3 separate regions of the Mus musculus genome follow, and all the other regions are reported to be linked to region 3. The links are microRNA targets in miRTarBase. Many come from high-throughput screens and were not tested one by one. Region 3 holds a microRNA gene; each other region holds the end of a gene's coding sequence.

The links. Region 3 holds the annotated microRNA mmu-miR-10b-5p (UACCCUGUAGAACCGAAUUUGUG, at 4,785-4,807, shown strand). A microRNA usually pairs through its seed, bases 2 to 8, with sites in the 3' UTR of a target mRNA and lowers its output. Matches are read on the target gene's strand: a 7mer-m8 pairs with bases 2 to 8, a 7mer-A1 pairs with bases 2 to 7 and ends in A, and an 8mer does both.
Region 1: miRTarBase lists Pde4c as a target of mmu-miR-10b-5p. Seed matches in the 3' UTR shown: 7mer-m8 at 4,838-4,844.
Region 2: miRTarBase lists Ogfod1 as a target of mmu-miR-10b-5p. Seed matches in the 3' UTR shown: 7mer-m8 at 5,151-5,157.

Annotation. Positions count from the first base shown.
Region 1 is chr8:70,748,803-70,755,802 of GRCm38, reverse strand. It overlaps Pde4c (phosphodiesterase 4C, cAMP specific), which reads right to left. Exons shown (of 17, transcript NM_001310465.1): 15 at 6,770-6,892; 16 at 6,398-6,580; 17 at 4,617-5,962. The coding sequence ends at 5,696. It overlaps Rab3a (RAB3A, member RAS oncogene family), which reads right to left and starts at 1,100. Exons shown (of 5, transcript NM_009001.7): 1 at 940-1,100.
Region 2 is chr8:94,062,969-94,069,968 of GRCm38, reverse strand. Ogfod1 (2-oxoglutarate and iron-dependent oxygenase domain containing 1) reads right to left here. Exons shown (of 13, transcript NM_177767.4): 11 at 6,880-7,000; 12 at 6,442-6,500; 13 at 2,047-5,790. The coding sequence ends at 5,629. Bbs2 (Bardet-Biedl syndrome 2 (human)) reads left to right here. Exons shown (of 17, transcript NM_026116.3): 16 at 1-7; 17 at 1,587-2,017. The coding sequence ends at 1,693. Among named protein-coding and RNA genes, the nearest start is that of Ogfod1, 29 kb to the right of the region's middle.
Region 3 is chr2:74,721,290-74,728,549 of GRCm38, forward strand. Mir10b (microRNA 10b) reads left to right here and starts at 4,781; the gene lies at 4,781-4,848. The region is part of intron 1 of Hoxd3 (homeobox D3); the gene reads left to right. It overlaps Hoxd4 (homeobox D4), which reads left to right and starts at 689. Exons shown (of 6, transcript NM_010469.2): 1 at 689-888; 2 at 1,264-1,342; 3 at 2,043-2,078; 4 at 4,174-4,689; 5 at 5,587-6,416; 6 at 6,973-7,260. The coding sequence starts at 5,990.

The DNA of each region.
Region 1 (7,000 bases), not on the chromosome of region 3:
GGTGGGCACGGCACAGGGGTAGGTGAGGATACCCCCCAATGTCACATGCTCAACCCCCCCAACCAACATAAGGCAGAGCTGTGACCTTGACAGCACCAAGGTTTTAAGCAGGCTGTGAACCTCAGATTCCCCTGTACCCTGAGGGAAGACTGAGCCTCCTCTGCCTTCCCATCAGTCTCTCACAGAGACCCACACCGGAACATGAATACAGGAGGATCCCCAGTTCTCGCTCATCCTTATTTTTCTCCTGCAAGAACTGGGGCCCTGAGATAGCCACATCACGTGACGAAGACAGGATGAACGTAGGCTCACACACACAAAATCGCGAGCACAAGAGCGCGCACGCATACACACACACACACACACACAAGCACAATGAAGCATCTAGGGCAGGCAGACCCAAACACCTGCCCTGCATGCAAGAGTGGTGCTAACAGGCGAAACAAGCAGACATGTATGGTGTGTGCAAGCCCATGTGTGAGCACAGCTCCCTGCACCAATGCACGACTGTACCTGGCCATCCGGGAGGACACACCACACACGCGCATGGCTCCACACGCGTGTGAGCACATACTTGAACTAAGATCCACGCGCACCGCGCACGCGGACCATGCACGCACAACGTATCACAAGTGTGCACGCTGCGCGTCCTGCGGTCACTCGAGCCTCTCCATGCCCAGCGGGCGCGCACACGCGTGTTCACCCCACGAGCACGAGCACGCACAAGCCTCCCGCAAGGCCTGGCTTTCCCCTCCCCCTCTGTCGCAGAGCCCGGGCCCCAGGTGCCAGGTTAAGGGCGAGGGGTGCGGGATGCGGGACCAAGAATGCCAAATGCGAGACCCATAGCCACTACACCCGAGTTGCGCTCCCCTTGATCCCCCAGCTGTCAGTGAAACGCGGGCTCCTCAGTGTGTGGACCTGGGTTGCGCTCACCCTTACCCTCTCTAAGCTGAGACAACGCTGGCGACGGCGACCGTGGCGACTGCGCTGGCGACCGGGCCCCAGAAGAGGATGCGGGGGATGCAGGCGGCGGCGGGGGCTGCAGGCGGCAGCGGAGGAGGCTCAGGCCCCTGCAGTCCTAGCTGACGTCCTGCAAAGCCAGGGGCGGGGCTTTCTATGCAAACGAAGCTGTGACGTTAGGGGAGGGACTGCATCGACAGCCGCGGGACCACACTGGCCTGCGCCGGCAGAAGAGGGGCAGGGCCTGGTAAGCCACTGGAAGACGGGGCTCTAGGGAGGCATGAAGTTTCCATTGGCTGATGCTCTCGAGCGACGGACCGAATATCAAATCAGCGATTCCTACGTCTTTAGAGGCCCAATGGTGACTGCTAGGTGTTTGAAGGGCGGAGAGGCTGAGGCCAGGACCTAGCTCTGGTTGGAAACTTGTGGTTAGAAGTCCTTGCTTTTGAGACGTGAAGCACTCAGGAGTTTAGGTTTTGTTTTGAGAAATGGTCTCAAGTAACAAGCTGGTCTCGAACTTGCCAAGTAGCAGAGGCTGATCTTGAACTCTTGATCCTCCCGCCTGCACCTCACAAGTGTTGGATTGGCAGGCATACATCTTGATTACATTTTAGGGCTCAAAAAACTCATTAAAGACCACACAGAATTTTTAGTCCCAGCACTCAGAAGGGAGATGGAGGCAGATCTCTGTGAGTTCGAGGCCAGCCTGGTCTACAACGTGAGTTCCAGGACAGCAGGACTATGAAGAGAAACTTTGTCTCAAAAAACAAAATAAACAAGCAAATAAATAAATAATTTTTAAAAAAAGAAAGAAAGAAAGAACTGTTTTTTGATGGGCTGAGGATAATTCTCAGTTTGGTGGGGAACCTGCATCACAAAGACCTGGGTTGATCCAGGCTCCTGTTCTCTGCACTGGGAGGAGAAGGGAAGGAGGGGAGAAGCAGAAGTCCAAGGTGATCCTCAGTTACATAGTGTCTTAAAGTCAGCTTGATCCACATAAAACCCTGCCTCAAAGAAATAAAGGAGAAAATCCGGTCTGTGCAAAGAGAAAAGGGTCTGATGAGTCCCCAGAGAACCCCTTGCTTCCTTGCGCACTTAGGGCTCAGAAGTATCCTGACCCATAAGTCTTCCAAAATTGTAATGAAAGACCAAGGAAGCAGAGAAGATTCAAGAGTAGCTGCCCAACGCCCTTTACGATATGGACACTGGGACCCGGGTAACCCTGTGTCTCAGGAAGGTGGGCGCAGAAATGCAGACTTCCAAGCCGCTATGATACACACGACTCATTCCTGCAAATCTGCCTGTCAAGGTGGGAATCTGGGGTCTATCCTATTCTTCCTCTCCGTGCGGCCGGGCAGGGTCCCCATCGCTTCCATTCCCACAGGAAGCAGAACTGGGAACGTGTCCTGGCCCTGTTTATAGACCTCCCCGCCAGCTGCGGAGGCGCCAATGGACCAGAATAACTTGTCGCCTGGATGCTCGTCCACCCCCGCGAGGAGCCTGGAGCCCCGCCCAATCCGGGGCCGCTGGAGGAAGCTTATTTCCTGCTTCCCCTGCACTTCATGCAGAGACACAAAGTGACCATCAGTTTGTTACTTAGCGAGCTCCGGGCCCACGCGGAGGCTACTGTGGGGACCGGGACCGGGTTTGAGGACAGAAAGGGTGCAGGAGGAGCCTGGGACACTGGAGCCTGATTTGGATTTATTCCGAAGGGATAAGGTTAGGGGAGGAACCCATTTGCTTCCACCACCAAGCAAGGGCTCCAGGAGAACTGTGCTGGTAGCTCAGTAGGTGGCAAGGCTTCATCGGAACACTTGGAAAGCTGAGGCAGGAGGGTTGTTGAGTTCTTTATCATCCTGGATCACAAAGTGAGACCCTGTTTCATACTATAAACGTGTGCGGGGAAACTGCTGGCATGGTAACAGAAACCTTTAATTACACAGCACTTGGGAATTTCTGAGTTTGAGGCTCCCCAGAGAGGACAGCACAGCTGTCTGGAAGAATGAAGCAAGTGTGTTAAAGGCCTGGGCAAACAAGAGCACAGGCAGAAGAAGGGACAGAGGGAAGCTGTTCCTCAAATCTTTCTAAGTTATATTCATTTATTTGTGTTGGAAAGAGGGGAGTGTCACAGGACAACCTAGGAAGTCAGTTCTTTCCTTCCAGCACAAGTCCTAGGAATGGAACTCACGTCATCAGGTTTGTGTGACTTCCAAATTCTCCCACAGTGAACACACATGACTTTGTTTAACAAGAAATCTCTAAGGGTCGCCTCTTAAGACATCTGGAAGGAAGAAGGAAATGTTCCAGTGTGTGACCCCAGATGGCCTTTTGTGCCTCCTGGGGATGAATAGCCCGAGTCATAATATTTACAGAGGAAGTCGCCTGCCACTCTGGCTCCTTGGAGGCCTTGGTCAGGTGCAGAGTTACAGGCTCAGAGGGAAAAAGGAAAAGGGAAAGAGAGGGACCCCCCCCCCCCCATGGCACATGCCTGTTACCCCAGCCAAGCACTCGAATGGTGGAGGCAAGAAAATAACGTTAGTGTCATCCTCTGCGGCAAACAAGTCTGACATTAGAACTTGAGACCATGAGACCTTGTCTCAAAACGGCCAAAGAACTGTTTGGAAAACAAACAGGGAATCAGTCATACCGCCAGGGGGCACCAGTGCCCACTCTTAGTATATAAGCTCTGAGGGACTAGTTATGACTCAGTTTCCACACAAGAGAATGAGTAGGTGTCGCGGCTATTCCTGGTTGTCAACTTGACTATATCTGGAATGAACTACAATCCAGAATTGGAAGGCTCACCAGTGACCCTAATCTGGAGGCTTGGAGATAGAAGTTTCTGATCTGGATCTTGGTATGGAGATCTTAAGACATAGTGGCTATGGCTTCCAGAAGATTAAGACAGGGAGATCTCATGGGCTGGAGAGATGGCTCAGTGGTTAAGAGTACCGCTGCTCTTCCGAAGGTCCTGAGTTCAAATCCCAACAACCACATGGTGGCTCACAACCATCCGTAATGAGATCTGACACCCTCTTCTGGTGCATCTGAAGACAGCTGCAGTGTACTTACATATAATAAATAAATAAATCTTTAAAAAAAAAACAAAAACAGGGAAATCTCTGAGTTCAAGGTCATCTGTGATTAAAGGTGTGGTGGCACACACCTTTAATCTGGGCTACACCTTCTGCTGGAGACCTACATAAGGACATTGGAAGAAGGAAGGCTTTCTCTCCTTCACCTGCTTGCCGTGTAGGACTGAGCAACTGCTAGATCCTTGGACTTCCATTCACAGCTGCTGCTGACCACTGTTGGGAGTTGAACTGCAGACTCTAAGTCATCAATAAATTCCTTTACTATATAGAGAATACCCATAAATTCTGTGACTCTAGAGAACCCTGACTAGGGAACGCCTATGGTGAAGAGAGGTGTGCCGGCACTCTGGTTTGAGAAGCCCAATCTTGTCAGAGACAGGGATCCTCATTGACGGGAAGACTGAGGCCTGCAGTGCTCTTCTATTTATTCTATTTTTGCAGTGATAGAAATGGAACTCAGGACTTCCCAAAAGCTAAAGCTCTGTTACCAGAGCCACACCCCAAGCCCCTCATTGGGCAATTCTAGGCAGAAGCTCCACCCCTTAGCCACACTCCAGCTACTTTTTTTTTTTTAAAGATTTATTTATTTATTATATGTGAGTAACCATTGCTTTCTTCAGACACAAAAGAAGAGGGCATCAGATCCCATTTCAGGCCACACAGTGGTGGTGGCACATGTCTTTAATCCCAGCACTTGGGAGGCAGAGGCAGGTGGATTTCTGAGTTCGAGGCCAGCCTGGTCTGCAGAGTGAGTTCCAGGACAGCCAGGGCTACACAGAGAAACCCTGTATCGAAAACAAACAAACAAAACAAAACAAAACAAAAAACAGATCCCATTACAGATGATTGTGAGCCACCACGTGGTTGCTGGGATTTGAACTCAGGACCTCTGGAAGAACAGTCAGTGCTCCTAACCACTGAGCCATCTTTCCAGCCCACTTCCAGCTCTTTTTATTTCTAGTCAGGCTGCCCAGCCTGGACCAGCTGTCTCCACACACACACAGCCAAGTCTGGGGGATGCCTATGGTGAAGAGAGGTGCACCAGCACACTGGTTTGAGAAGCCCAATCTTGTCGGAGACGGGGATCCTCATTGATGGGAGGACTGAGGCCTGCAGTGGTCTTCTAGGAGGGTCACCGGCCTCCTGATATCTAAGAAGAGTCTTGTGCAGCCAATGGTGTCAGGAGACACCAGACCTCAGTGGGAAGTGTTCCCCGCCCGCATTTTACGAAAGGGATTCCCCCGAGGGACTCAGTAAAGGCTTGCAGCTGGACTGGTGAAGGCAACATTGGTTCCATCTTTAGTGCCAAAAAAGAAACCAACTAAACCATAACACAGAGTCCGACTGCATGTGCTGAAGCTGACGTGCAGACTGCAGCTGAGTCTAAGTCTGTCTTCTGAGATGCAGGAGTCGGCGCTTCCCAGGGCTGGTGCCATTCCAGTCTGTGGGCAGAGCTGGTCCCAGCCTCCCTCAGGCTTGGCTCTGTGTAAACCTTGGCTGTCCTCTTTGAGTGGTGGAACGTCATCAGTGCCCATAGGTGCCCATGGCCTGACCAGGACTCCACGGTCCACACTAAGCTAGCCCAACTCTTGTTGGACAAAGCAGACCCTGGGCTCTGGGCTGGCCTTAGAGGACAGGAGTTAAGTGCTGGGTAACTCTGAGGACTCCCTGTTCAGTGCTGTGCACTGCCCTTCATCCTCCTCTTCCTCCTCTTCCTCTGCTTCCTCCAGGGTCAGCTCAAACTTGAACCTGTCCGAGCCCATGGTGTGTGGAGGGCTGCAGGGAATCCTACTCTGATACCACTCTCTGTTGTCTTCCAAGGTGTCCAGAAGCTCCTGAGCATCGGGGTGCACTAGGTCAGCCCATGTCTCCCACAATGGCTGAGCGATGTAGTCAATGAATCCCACCTTAGGGTGATCACAGAAGGGGCAAGTGAGACCCAGTGAAACCTAGAATTAGTCCCATCTCACAGTTGGCCACCTGGTGTTCTCAGCCTGGAATTCTCATTTGCCAACTCCTATTCATCCTTCAAAATCCTCTTGAAAAAAGCCATCCTGGCACAACAGGAGGAGACTGAGGCAGGGTGATCTCAAGCCAGTGAGTTCTAGGCCAGCCAGGGTGACAAAATGAGATGTCTTCAAAACAACAAATCAAAACATCTGCCCTAGCTGGCTGGTGGCGCACACCTTTGATCCCTGCACTTGGGAAGCATAGGCAGGCGGATCTCTGAGACAGAGACCAGCCTGGTCTACAGAGGAGGTCCCAGGACAGCCAGGGCTGCACAGAAAACCCTGTCTCAAGAAAGACTCCGCCCTGTAGTGGGCACAGCTCCCTTCCCGCACCTGGGATTTCTCCATCGAGGCTGTGTGTTTGTCGCACATGGGGCTGATGTCCAGACCCGACTCTCGCTCCCGGTCACCCTGCTGGAAGAACTCGGCCATGATGCGCTCCGTCCACTGGCGGTAGAGGGGTAGCGGCTTGGCGGGGTTGCTGAGGTCAGCGCAGTGCACCAGGCTCTGGAGAACCTGTTGGGTATGGGGGGACTCACAAGGCCCAGCCACGCCCCACCTCACCACATCCCAAAGCTGAGTGTAGTGTGGTGGTGCGCGCCCAAGGCAGGAGACTGTTGACTACTGAAGCAGTCTGAGCTACAGAGTAAGACTCTCTCAGGAAGCTAAAGCTGAAAACTGAGGCTATGGCCCCGCCTCACAAACCTGGATGCGGTCAGAGTAGTTGTCCAAGAGCAGGACGCCAAGGCTGGTCACTTTCTTCGTCTCCACCATGGTCTTGAGGTCGGCCAGAAGGCTCATGTGCTTAGACATATCTGTGGCCAGCACCTGGGAGGACAGTAAATTAAGGATGCTGCGCCTCTGAGACCTGTGCCTCAGTATCCCCACCTGTGAGAGGGAGGATGGAAACACTGGGCGGCACAGTTGTCAACTGAA
Region 2 (7,000 bases), not on the chromosome of region 3:
CTGCGCGGTAAGTCTTTCCCTGGTACCTGATTTGCCTATGGTATTTTGAAAACATGAGGGTCACAGAAGATTGTGGATACATTATAAAACTCACACTGAAGCCCAAAGCAGCCTTCCTTCAACACTCCAGAGCTGGCCCTGGCTTCTACTACTCAACCCAGGACTTTAGTTTTCTCTAGACAGATTTTTGGTTTTATTGTTCTGTTTTTTAAAGAAATAAAGCCTTGCAGGGCATGGTGGCATACACCTTTAATCCCAGCACTTAAGAGGTAGAAGAAGCAGGCAGATCTCTTGTTAGTATAGGCCAGCCTGACCTACAGAATGAGTCCCAGGACAGCCAAGGCTACATGAAGAAACCCTGTCTCAATAAATAAATAAATAGCCGGGCGTGGTGGCTCACGCCTTTAATCCCAGCACTTGGGAGGCAGAGGCAGGCGGATTTCTGAGTTCGAGGCCAGCCTGGTCTACAGAGTGAGTTCCAGGACAGCCAGGGCTACACAGAGAAACCCTGTCTCGAAAAACCAAAATCCAAAAAAAAGAAAAAAAGGAATAAAACCCTAAATTCCTTTTCTAAGATCTTGCTGTAGCTGCTAAAGCAGCAATTATCACCCTGTGGGGTGTGACCTCTCTGGAGGTCACATATCAGAAAATTACAATTTATAACAGTAGCAAAAGTGGTTATGAGTAGCAAAGAAATAATTTTATGGTTGGGGGTAACCACAACATGAAGAATTAACTATATCACAGGGTTGCAGCATTAGGAAGGTTGAGAACCACTGTCCTAAAGGAAAACTTAGTTTTATAATCCAAAGGAAGAAAATAACTTTGTAAGTTAGGGACGGAAAAAAACAAAACAAAACAAAAAAAAACCAACAACTGAAAATAACTTGGGCAAGCATCCATCTTGGAAGCGTAGAGAGTTGTGGGATAGGCCACAGGAAATGGAAATGCGGCCGGAGAGCTGCTGATTCCGCTGCTTCGATCAAGCTGCCTTTGTTAGGAGTGCAAGCTGAGTCATCTCTACAAACCTACTTTGATTCTGGCTTGGGATGACCTCTAAGTTTTTTTGTAATAAATTCTGTCTTTCCTAGAAGGTAGCAAGTTTTTTTTGTTTTTTTTGTTTTTTTGTTGTTTTTGTTTTTTTTTCGAGACAGAGTTTCTCTGTATAACCCTGGCTGTCCTGGAACTCACTTTGTAGACCAGGCTGGCCTCGAACTCAGAGATCCACCTGCCTCTACCTCCCGAGTGCTGGGATTAAAGACGTGAGCTACCACACCCTGCAGGAGGTAGCAAGTTAGCTATGTATATGTATATGTAATTCTTTTCTACCCTGGTTTTATGCTGTCTTCAAACTGTCCTTACCCCCCACCTCTTTTCTTTCAGACAGGGTTTCTCTGTTTAGCCCTGGCTATCCTGGAACTCACTCTGTAGACCAGGCTGGCCTTGAACTCAAAGATCTGCCTGCCTCTGCCTCCAGAATGCTGGGATTAAAGGCGTGCGCCACCAACCTGGCTTGGCTTTGAATCTCTAATTTCCCTTTTAATCATATTTTGGGAAGCACCGACTCAATGTTTTTTCTCACACAGTTGGAAAGCCAAAGAACCAGGTGATCAGTGCTTGTCGGGATGCGATTCGAAGCAACAACATCAACACCCTCTTCAGAATCATGCGAGTGGGCACTGCTCCTTCATAGGAGACAGGGAAAGAGGAAGGAAGCCCCTGCAAAAGGTCTAGACACGGAGCCTGGCTGGCTCCCGATCACAGCCTGGGCATCCAGCTGCTAAGGATGAAACCATGCTAACTGATACAGCTAAGGACAAAGCACTCCGGCTGAAAGCCTCCTTCATTGATATCAGTGGTGTTGCTGATTTGTATCTTAAAATATATCACCATTTCAGAATTTAACTTGTTTTTGTACATAAAGTTAGTGTATGAATTTATTCCCCCCGAAATTGTTACTGAAATTTAAAATGGAGTACCTACTTTTTCATTAAAAATAAAAGGCACTGGTCTTCCTTGTTGTTGTTTATAAATTACCACCATAGCAGAAATGCACAAACACTTTTATTTTGTGGGGAAAACAAAAAATACAGACATCCATTTTTTTTTATCACTCAAATGTATGTGTAAACATTTATATTAAGGGAAAACAAATCTAAAGGCAGTCTATCAGTTGGGGTAGCATTAGCTGGAATACAGATCTCCAAACGCATCTCTGGCTGCTCCTTTTTATTCTTAAGGAGCCACTGAAAACTGTTTTCATTCTTGTCTGCAGCGGCGGCCTTAGTGGCTCCCTCTGAGCCCAGCCTGACAAAGTGCCTTACAACCTTGTATTTACCCAACAGGAGAGAGGGAAGAGAGGGCAGAGAGGAGCCATGCTTCCTAATACAGGGCAGGGTGGCCATGCTGACACGCTTACGGCAGCACACAGTTGTCAAAGGGTGGTGGCAAGGGGTTTCAGCTGACCTATGTGTTTTTCCACACTTTTAAATTCCCAACAATGAACATGCATTGTTTATGTATTGTTATCTTTGGAGGGAATATCACCTTTAGGAAAAGGAGTTATGAGAACTGGAAGTTCACAGCTGGACACCGTGGTACTCTAGAATCTTAGCAATTAGAGAGCTAGGGTATACATAGACCCTTCTCGAAAACACCAATCAATAAGAAAACAAGAAAGAATTAGAGGCTCATTATTAAGAGAGACATGCCATTGGTCACACAGAAAGCAGCATAGCTTTTACCAACAAGAGGTATTGAGAGCCCACATTTGACTCTCTTGCCCCATGCCCAAAGCAGCAAGCAATCAGGATCAAGAATGAAGCAATTGCAAACTGAGGCAAGATCACTTGTGCAAACGTGACAGTATTCTTGGACAGACTAAGTGGAAGCTTTTCTGCCTTCCAACATGGACGACACGTTAAAAATACTCCATCTTCAATAGCCTTAGCTTATGCAATAGAACTTTATTTTAAACTTTGACTTATAACTTTATATTGTATAGCTGTACAAAAATATTTTGAGTTATTTTCATTTTTAACCTTTCTGAATTTTCTGTTAATACTAACACACACACACACACACACAGGCCCATACACTTATTGATTGTCTTCATTCTCACTGCTTTCCACCTGTGTTGTCTGCACATGGGAGTTAGCGCTTTAACAGCACACACTCTGAGCAGGTCATGTGAGTGAACACATAAGGTGGTGGCCTGTGAGTGACAGTTGTGTGCACAGCTGCCTGTTCTCCCTAGCCTCTCGGTGACTTTGAGTGATTTGGAATTCAGGCATCTTTCAGCTCCACTGTAGACGTACGGGCTCACTGTCATACACCATCTGTCTCACCCATACATCAACAATGCGGCACATGGCAACTGAAAAACGCAGCTGCTCACTAGAGCAGAAAGGCAACCTGTAGGTTCTATTGTTCTTGCAGACCAGGAGGCTCTGCAAAGACAGAGGGACCCTTCAGAGTTCTTCCCACTCAGGCACTTCAATGGGGGGTGGGGAGTGAGGGTGGGATGGGTGGGGGAGTGGGCCTGCCTTTAGTCTGCAGCAGTTCAGAAAAGGCAAGCTTCAAAAGTAACCGTTAGCAACAAAGTATGCGTAGTCCAACTTGAGCACTACTCTGGATTAAAGTGCGGTGGAGTCTACAACAGTATGCGTGGGCAACAGCCTGTCATTGGTCACTGCCTGGCGTGGGAAGACAACTCTCAAACTAGGTCTGGAGAGTCTTTTGTTTTTAATTTTTGAATCAGGGTTTCACTATATAGCTCTGACTGTCCTGAAACTCTCTTTGTAGACCAGGCTGGCCTTGAATTCACACATCTGCCTGCCTCTGCCTCCTGAGTGCTAGAATAAAGATGCGTGCTTCCCACTCCTGGCTCCATCTTTGTTTTTGAGGCAAGGTGTACTGCTGCCCAGGCTGGCCTTAAACTCGCTGTGTGGCTGAGGATAGTCTTGAACTCTTAATCCTCTTGCCTCTACCTTCCAAAAGCTGGGATTAAAGTATGTCCCCTCAGTTTAGGTCTGGATATTCTCATGTCATTATTTAAAAATTACTTTGTTTTATGATTAATACCAAAACATATAAAACTTGTAAGTATCTACTAGGATATGAATGTTAAAGTGTGTTTTACTGACTGGGTAAACAAAACAAATTGAAAGCCAATGTAAAAGACAGAATGCATTTGGATGGACTTTTAGGACGTCAGAGAAGTGTGAATAAGATACTTAAAGGTCCAGCGTTTTTCCTACCGATAAGTAAAGTCCACACTGAAACCTGCAAGGATAGTCAGGAACCAAGAAAGCAGCAAATAGATGTGGTGTGGGGTGGTGTGAGGACATCTCTCAGCCATCATGCACACCCCCACAATGGGAAGAGCTGTGCCACAGCCCCATGGAGCAGTTCAGGGGAAAGACCAGAGACAAAAGGAGGGCTTCTCCTCCTGAACTTCTCCTCCTGACACTGCCTTTTAGCACGGGGGTCTTTCAAAAGGAAGGGAAAGGCAGCAAGTTCCACACCCGGCCTTCCAGCATTTAGGAACGCATAGTCACTGGGAGGCTAGACTCAGAGAAGCCACGATGCCAGGTCTGGAAGGCAGTAGACGAGAGGAAATACATAGGGCAGTAAGCAGCTATGGAATTCCTGGAGCTATGTTAGGTTTCAGGCAGACCTCTTCCAAAAGAGCAACACTACCTCCCCGAGGGTACCCTATCCTCAGAGTCAGGGTGGAGCTCAGCCCACAGTGGGAGCACCGTGTGTCACAGCTCTCGGGCTCAGCAAGTTTCTACAACTACTTAGGAGTGAAGAAGAAAAACACTGATAGGCCTTGAGGACGCTGTGCTAAGTGAAACAAGCCAATCAGGAAGCGAGACCCACTGCACGATTCACTCATGAGGCGAACAGTCATCAAAGAAGGGCAGTAGCACTCCCCTATGGGAAGACAGAAAACCATTTCCACTTCCTATGAGGTCTGGGTGTTTTCCAGATGGCAGTGACGGGTGCTTTGGAGCACTTCAGTATGCTCAATTCCACGGACTGCACATGCAGGAACTGGTGCAGTGGCTCATGCCTGCAATTCCAGCACTTAGGAGGTTGAGGTGGCAGAATCAGTACTTCAGAGCTAGCCTGGGCTACATAGTACAACCCTGTCAAAAGAAACCAAACCAAACCAAACCAAACTCTAAGCCAAAAAAAAGTGACCCTGCTAAATTTTGTATATACACCATAAATTAAAAAAAAAATCACCAAAGTTAGAAAGTCGCCAAGGCAGTTACTACAGAACGAAGAGAATTGCAATGGGGGAAAACATTTTTTTCTGCAACCCAGGGACGAGTACATAGCTCTAGCATGAGGTCTAGATGAATTTTCTGAAAGGATGACCAAGAGTTGTTTTGCTTGGGGACAGGGTCTCACCGTGTAAGCCACACTGACCTTGGGAACTGAAGGTCCCCTTTCTCTGCCTCCCGAGGCTGGCATCACAGGTGTGCACCCACACAGCCTGCAAGGACAGCCTGCTCGGAGGACGCTGTTACCCAGCATGCCCCACTCTCCCTCACTCCACGAAGACCCCATGTTCCTGGCACTGGTGGAGTGAATGCTAGCTGGCTCTGCCCCATCTTGTTACTCATAGTAGATGAATGCGAAGTCCCAGAAGCCGCTTCTGCTTGGGAAGGCTTTGCTCTGCTCTAGGCTGCGGTGGTTGATGTGTTTCACAAACCTCAGCGTTTCTCTGTCTCTGTAGACCAACGCCAAAGAGTTGTTTTCTGGATTCACTATGAGCAGCTGTAACGGGAAACACGAGAGATGTCAGAACCCAGAGCTCGTTTTCCGCTCCGCTCGGGGGAGTCATCACAGAGCAGGTGGTTTCCATAGTGACTCTTTAGGCTGGGGAGGAGGTCCCAAAGAGTTTTTTATTAGGAGAGGTGTGTTTCTGTCTAGACATTTCCCAACAAGCTCTGCCTCACTAGCACAAACCCGGAAACGGTTTGGCCTAATGTGTTTGCTTCCAACTCCCTAGAAAGAGTGGTGGGTGTGAGCCTCTTAACTCAGGCTCTCAGTAAGGCACAACAGTGTGTGCTGAATTTCCTTTCGCTTTACTGAGTTACTGCAAGCTCCCATATATTCTTGTGAAATCAGAGCCACCTCGAGGCAGGCCAGCATGGATTTATCAGCTAAGAACACTGGCTGAGGTCATAAAATGTGTATTTCTTGCCGTCGTGGTGGCTCACACCTGTAACATCAGCTTTTGCTTGATGGAGGCAGGAGTGTTGTGCCAAGGGTGAGGCCAGCCTGGGCCGTAGAGTGAGGTCCTGCCTCAAACAAACAAACAAAGCAAAGAAACAAAACCAACAGGTAAATAAATTGGTGTCTGAAGAACAGAACTTTCTCAAGAGTTAGAAAGGAGAACTTGACAGAAGGAAGCCACTTACTTACCTCTTCATCTTCACCTTTAGCAATGTAGGAGGTAAAGCCGCCATATTCGGGCTCCCAGCCTGACGAGGGAAAGACAAAGGGCACTGAGCTCCCACTGCCAGAGTGAGTGACTGCTGAACTGGGGCTCTGGAACTTCTGTATTGGCCTTTAGCATCTGCTATCATGGATTCTCTCTCTATTAAATGGCTAATTTCCCAGACAGCTGAACTGAAACCCAGGCTTACTAATGAATATTGAAAGAGGAAATTAAAGGAATTAACCTTTCCATACCCAGATATAAATTCTGTTTGGGGAAACTAAAATTCACCATCCCCAACACCCTTTAGAATTCTGGGATTGTGGCCACAGGCCAGCACTTCTGAGTTGGCTGAGCTGGAGAGTCGCTTCGGAGAGCCTGCCTGGACTAAGGAGTTGATCCATGGCCCTGCTCCTCCCTACCTTCACAGCCACAGTACAGAAACAGGTCCAGGGCAAATTCAGTCTTGGTGTTGTCGTGGACTAATGTGTAATGGCCAGTCTTCCAACGCCTCAGCTCCCCCTGGCACATGGGAACGCTCGA
Region 3 (7,260 bases):
TGCTTTAAGGCTCTTCAGAGCCTTACTCGCCAGAGTCCGGTGGGGCCTGTTCTCCACTTTCTCACTTCACCAAACCTCAAGTCTTGCTGTTTTAAGCAGTTTGGTCACTTGCAAAGGCTTCTCTTTCAGATCTGAGCAAATTATAAAAACCCCTAGGCATGTGGCAATCTTCAACTTTCACCAAGCCCCATCCACAACAATACAGAGGACACTAAGTGTTAATCCCAGCTGCCTCCCCACCCCCAAGGCCACCCAGCCTCTCCCCTGGCCACTCTTCCCTATTGAATCAAGCAAAAAATCTCAAAAATAATTTCCAACTTTTGCGATAAGCAAGTAAGAAGTAGCCTTTGTCTTTCCTGCTTACCACATCGAATGCTAGAAAATGATTGAAATAAAGGCGGTGATGGTACTCACAGTGGATGCAGCCCAAGAGTCATAGGACAAGCCTACCAACCAGCCTTGTCCAAATAGCACTATCCCCCAATTTAAACAGCTTTCTCTGAAAAGATGCAAGTTGAAAAGCCCGGGGTATTGATATGAATATGACCTCTCTCGCATTCTGGATATTTGGAACTATTTAAATCCAAGGGAACAGTTGCAGTGAACCTTTATTTAGTGAATAAAAGTTTAAAGCCAAAGGTTATTTATGGTTCTGCAGAGCCGGGACCTGAGTGGCTATTTATAAGCACGTGATTCCAATAAACTTTGTTTTATGGCTTGAGAGTTGACAAGCCAAAATATAATTCCCACCATAAATTAGGTTAAGAGCATACAAGTGCAGATGCTTGGTTCCTGTAGCAGCGATAGGCAAGTGAGAGGCTCCAGCCAGCGCCCCGGGCTCAGGAGACAGCTCTCCTCTAAGCTTCTCTACCAACGAAAAGAAACCCAGTAAGTCACTCATTACTTTGTCCACAATAACTCTAGAGTTGTGGGGCAGGGGGTCTGAGCCCAGCCTTCTCTGCTTGGGGAAAGCCTATCTATTGAAGTTCATTTTAATTTTAGCCTAAGCCTAACTTAATAAATTGAATGGGGGGTCTTGGCATTTCCCTCTCCTGTGTATACCTGGAACGTTGGGAAGTGAGGGCCTTCTACCCCAAAAGCAGGACTTACACTTGCCTCTCAGTAGTGGAGCAACAACTTTAAAAGTGGAAGAAAGCAATGATGGGGGGTGGGGAGGAGAGGGGACCGGTGTGGAGATGAGTTACCTCTGAGGTAGTTCAGAGCGGGGTTTGCCCCCCCTTTTCTTTTTCTTTCTGTTCCTAGAAGACTAAAAACTTGAAGATGGACATGAGTGCCCTGGGAACCACTGTTCTCTTTGATCGGTCTGTAGGTTCTCCTGCAGGTATGTTTAAAAAATTAATGTCAAACAGATAGAATGAGATCATATTTTAGACCATGTCTGTAAGATCTAGATCATTTTCCTTTAAACACATCAATTTCCCTTTCTGGTTATCTTTTGGGTTCTCATTTCCCCTCGGAAGGAAATGACTGTTTTGAATTGGAGACATGGAAAAAAAAAAATATGTCCCTGCCTGCCATGCCTCCTCTTTGAGGAGAATGCAGGTTTGGACGCTGGGGTGGAATTAAAAACCAACCTGAAACTGGAAAAGGAGGTCTGAACTGTTTCCAGAGGGAGCAGAATTGGGGTCGGGACAAATAGAATGTCTGCAGGCTCTCACCAGTGGGCTCGCACCCACCCTCCCACACCAGAAGGAAATGCACAAAGGCCTATTTTCTGACTTCCCATTTCCCCCCTGGGGAAACCCTGCCTCAGGCAGTCTGAGTCAGGCCGTATAACTGGTTGGGTTTTGCCCAAGGGTGCGTGAAGTAGGGTAGGTGACCAGGACAGACTCCCATAGCCCTTAGCTCTGCCTTTGAGGATGCTATCAGAGGAAAACTTTGTGCAGTACCCGAAGGCGGTCACCAGAAGCAAGGAGTTCTAGGTATTGGTGGAATGTCTGGGCCTTGTCACGTTCTGCATGTCGCCTATGGATGCTTTATTGTCCTGTGAAATTTGAGAGACCCCACTTTCATTGCAACAGGTTTTGGAGCGTCAGGGAGAACGAGGGAGAACCACTGTAAGTACCTTCCCTTTTCTTCCGAGGAACGAAAGGGTAGTGCTAAGACTGGGAGGAGGTGGGCGGAAGGTCCGCGCCAGCGGTGATGGGAGGGTTAAGGAGTAGCGGAGTGGCGCTGCCTCCCCAGGCCAAAACGGACTCGCTTCGTGGAGGGATGGAAGCTCTAGGCTGACCCTTTAGGAAGTATTTCTGGGACCTAGTTCACAGTCACCTGCTCAAGTAAACGCACCGCAGGGGACCGCCCTTGTCTTCCCGGACCTCTCTGGACCATACAGGCCTTTGCCAGGCTTCTCTGGCTCGCACAGGTGCAGCAGACTTGCAGCTAATTAGCAGCCCACCCTATCAACGAACTGAACTACGGGCGGGCCAGCATCCACAACTGCTAGAATTGACCCAATCAACACCAAGGCAACGGGGGTCCCTCTCTGCTGTCCAGCCATTATTCTCTCTGCCCAGTCTATCTCAGCCTTCTCTTGCTGTATATAGGTTTTAATTTAAAATTTGATTTATTACAGACAAAAACAAACATATAACCCTTGATGGTCTTGGGTGTGTTGGATTGGCCTGTTTCCAGGAAGGGCTACAACTTCTGAGCTTATGTAGACATTCCTCTCCTGTCCCTTTCTGGGTCCTAGCTTCACTGGTGTGGGTCCCAGTTTGGGATACCCGGTGAACAAAAAGAGTACTTTCTCTTTCCCTCCGTTTCTCCTTAGCTGCAGTTGAAGAATTTCTACTCTACTCCAGAGTCCAGTGGAATTGGGTGGGATCAGAGGCAGGGACTCCAGTTCTTTGGCTCTGAAGTTTGAAGCTGAGAATGCTGGTGACATCTTCTGGGTGTCATTAGAAGGGTTGGCACTAGAAGGAGAGTCAAGGAAATAGTAGAGGCTTGCCACTCACTGCAAACCACAGGTAGTTTAATTTTAATGGAACAGTAGCAGATTGGTAAGGACCACAGGGACCAGGCATCCTCCCTCTCTTGTGAGATGTCTTCCCTTCCTGGTCAGAGAAGCTGAGACTGGGCTCAGGGCCAGGTTTCTTTGCTGGGCCCCTGGTGAGGCTGAGCTAACAGGGAAGTGAAGACCTTTACAGCTTGTAGTTCCTTCTATGAACCAGGCCTGCACACAGTGAACCAGGCTCCATGGTGAAAAATCTGGACTCCCCAGACTTTCTCTGGCCTTGCCCCTGCCCTCTTCCTTGGCACCCTTGGCTGTGAGGGCTCATCTCTGCTGAGGCTGCTTGCTTGCTGGCGCCTTGTAGCTGCCCACAGCACAAAAAGCCGGAGAGATCAAAAGCATTTGTATGGGCAGTTGAGAGGGAGGTGAATATTTAACGCTTTTGTTCATCAATAACTTGTTGGCTTTGACCTGTCTGAACAAGTCGAGCAATAAGGTGAAATGCAGGTCACAATGTCTAACAAATATGAAAATGTGTGTACTCATCTTGGTCCTCACTCAACCCATCGGACTTCCCCAATTTGTCTGGGTAAAACAGAGGTAGGCCCAGTGTCCCCAGAAAGGCCTGTCAACGTGTCCATGGGTGAAAGGGCTGGCATTAGGAGAAACTGGGGAGAGTCTTTAAACAAACGGATTTTAACCCCCTTTTTTTTTTTTAGAACTGACACCTGGGAAATCCCTGCAAAATAGTGGAAGTGAAAGATGGTGGGAGGGCATGGAAGGGCAAAGTACAGGGTCAAAGTGAGCACCTAATTTTGCCAGATATGATGAGGGGAGTCTCCCTGCCCCACCCCATCAAAATCAAGGCATGGGGCTTGAAAGTGATTTTTCGAATTATATAGGAAGGGATCAAAACAATACTTAGAAATGTGGACATCTTCAATCTGTTATCAGGCATCCATAAGCTCGGCCCAGGCCAGGGCATCCCTCTGCCCCTGAAATCAGCCCAGCCCCAGAGTGCATCTGGGCTCTTGATGCCCTGAATTGAGGGGCAAGCCCAGGACAGCGGAGGCGCTGGGGCGGCGAAATTCGCGAACTTTTGTACTCTTCTGTGCTGCTGTCGGCAAAGCAAAAATAATGAAACTTTGTGATATGTTTGTAAATGATTTCGAATGACCCCTCGCCCTGCCCTTCACCATTAGCTCGACAGTCTCAGCCCAGGGAGGCTCGGTGGCCGCAAACAGCGCCTGCCTCCGGGTCTGCAGCAGCAGTCATAGCAGCAGCAGAAGCAGCAGCAGCGGGATCCGAAAGTCCGGCGGGGCTGAGGGCCCAGAAAGGTAAATGCTCGAATTCTAGGAGGACTAGCTGTGACCACTCACTTGGCTTAGGTTCTGGTGAAGACTATTCCTTTTGCCTTTTTCAAAACTCCCTTTCTGCTGCTGAGGGCCTTTGCTTCTTTTTGGGAAATACCACTTGATAAGGGGGCGGGAGATTTGGGTTCTGAGAAGGGGCAATTAAGCCGCCATCTCTGGGGTGAAAAAAAAACTCCCCTTCTTTTCTTTTCTTTTTTTTTTTTTTAAGAAGAAGAAGGTCCTGGCTGCTCAGCTACTTGGTGGCCCCCATCCTGGCAAGCCGATGAGGGAACTCATTGCTGTAGCGAGCAGCAATACTTAGAAATGCACCGAGCCTACCTGCACCATCTCTGAAAGCCAGGCTTGGTGAGTTCCTGGTGGCTGTGCTGAAGAGATCAGGTCTGGCAGCTGCCTGAATGTCTGCTCTGGGTAGGACCCGAGGTTGTAACGTTGTCTATATATACCCTGTAGAACCGAATTTGTGTGGTACCCACATAGTCACAGATTCGATTCTAGGGGAATATATGGTCGATGCAAAAACTTCATATATCTCCGACATGGCCAGAGACTGAGGCGCGGAGAGTACTGGCAGCCCAGCCGGCAAGCCACCTCTTTCTTTTTCATTACCTTAGACTCCAGGATGATCGACTTTGCCTGGTGAAATTGTACAGCCTTTTCCTGGAGAAACTCCTATAGATATTCCAGTAGGTGCTCAAGTGGTTGTCTGAGTGTAAAGCCAGAGAGCCAGGTTTTAGGGTATTAGAGAGTGAGGTGAAAGGCCAGAAAGCTCCAGCAGAAGCCCTGCTCTGAAGGAGCATGAGACACAAAGGTACCCAAATGGGGCTCACCTGCCCTTGTGTGGGAAGAAGACAAACTGAAAGATAGGCCATCGGAGACCGTTGGGGTACATTTAGGCAAGGTTAAGGTCCCCCTCCCCACCATCCCAATATGACCCAACCCCTCAGCCACCAGACTCAGAACTGTGAGGGCCTCCTGCAGAAAGATCCAACTTCAACTAGAAACACCCCAGCCTGCGCATTGGCAGAAAAGCATAGTGGTTACTCATTGCCTAACTCAATTCAGGTCCGCCAGATTCTGGTAACTTTTGGGTGACCCTGATGAAGACAAAGCCAAGACAGGTCTTTGTATGTCAGAGTCCAGGACTCCTGCCAGCTGGCCGGGCAGCCTGCCTGCCTGCCTAGGACTCTACCCAACTCGGAGGCCACATTGCCCACACTCATTCTTCCTTATTTTGCACCCCAGTAGGAGAATTCACTCTTCTTTGAACTATGTCCATTCTGGGGGCTGCTTCAGGCGATGGTGAGTAAGGAGGGCATGGGAGGTTAGCAAAGTCAGTGGAAGACAAAAGCCGAGATTACCTGCCGGAAATTGGGACCCCGGGGATAGAATTAGAACTCTATTAGCATCTGTCAGGGACTCTCAAATGTGGCATGGCAAGTCACTTGATTACACGTATGTTATTTAGTTAAATTTGTGAAAATTATGAGATGCTCACCAACCCGGTGATAAACATGCTTTCTTCCTATTGGCTGGCCTGGTCACATGGCCGCCCAACTTTATTCAGTTGACAGCAAGTAGGAGGGCCCAATGGAAGGAGAAAAAAGACAACACGAGAAAAATTAGTATTTTCTACCTTCTGAAATTAATGGCCATGAGTTCGTATATGGTGAACTCTAAGTACGTGGACCCCAAGTTTCCTCCGTGCGAGGAATATTTGCAGGGTGGCTACCTAGGCGAGCAGGGAGCCGACTACTACGGCAGCGGTGCACAGGGCGCCGACTTCCAGCCCTCGGGGCTCTACCCACGGCCCGACTTCGGCGAGCAACCCTTCGGAGGCGGCGGGCCCGGGCCTGGCTCAGCGCTGCCCGCGAGGGGTCACGGACAGGAGCCGAGCGGCCCGGGAAGTCATTACGGTGCCCCGGGAGAGCGGTGCCCAGCGCCCCCGCCTGCGCCCCTGCCTGGCGCTCGGGCCTGCAGCCAGCCCACCGGCCCCAAGCAGCCGCCCCCCGGGACAGCACTCAAGCAGCCCGCTGTGGTCTACCCTTGGATGAAGAAGGTGCACGTGAATTCGGGTAAGGAGTGGGGGCAGCGACCTCACAGCCCTCCCGCACCACTCCTTGCATCTTTTGGCCTGCACCCCCCACCCCAGGGGTTGCGAATGGGTAGGGGCTTGTGCAGCTTCCTTGGGCGCCGCAATTACTCTCTCCATAAATTTTTATAGCTGAGGGAGCAGGCCGGGACCATGTGGCTGGCTGCTTGGCTGTGGGCGCAAAAGGGGGTGGGGATGGGGATGGGGTGGGGGGAGGACTCCATTTCCACAGCAGAGGGAACGCAGAGCAAAACAAGGACCTTTCCAAAATGTTGGCGATACCGAGCTCTTGGTGGGCCAGTGGCAAGGGAGAACCTTTGAGGAGGACCTGTGAGCGTGGGGAGTGTGTGCATGGAAGGGCTTGGGTGGGAGTGTGTGTATGTTTAGGGAGAGGGCGGGAGGGAGGAAGCTGGCCAGCTTGGAGCACAGGGGGGGCCCGAGGGCTGCGAGACGCGCCAGGAAGTGAGGGCAGAGGCAAGCCTGGGGCCTAACTAGTGGCCGGGCTCTGACCTGGCTGTCTTGTATGTTTTGTCTCATAGTGAACCCCAACTACACCGGCGGGGAGCCCAAGCGCTCCCGGACGGCCTACACCAGACAGCAAGTCCTAGAACTGGAAAAGGAATTTCATTTTAACAGGTATCTGACCAGGCGCCGTCGGATTGAAATCGCTCACACCCTGTGTCTGTCTGAGCGCCAGATCAAGATCTGGTTCCAGAACCGGAGGATGAAGTGGAAAAAAGACCACAAACTGCCCAACACCAAGGGCAGGTCTTCTTCCTCATCTTCCTGCTCCTCTTCAGCTGCCCCGGGCCAGCATTTGCAGCCAA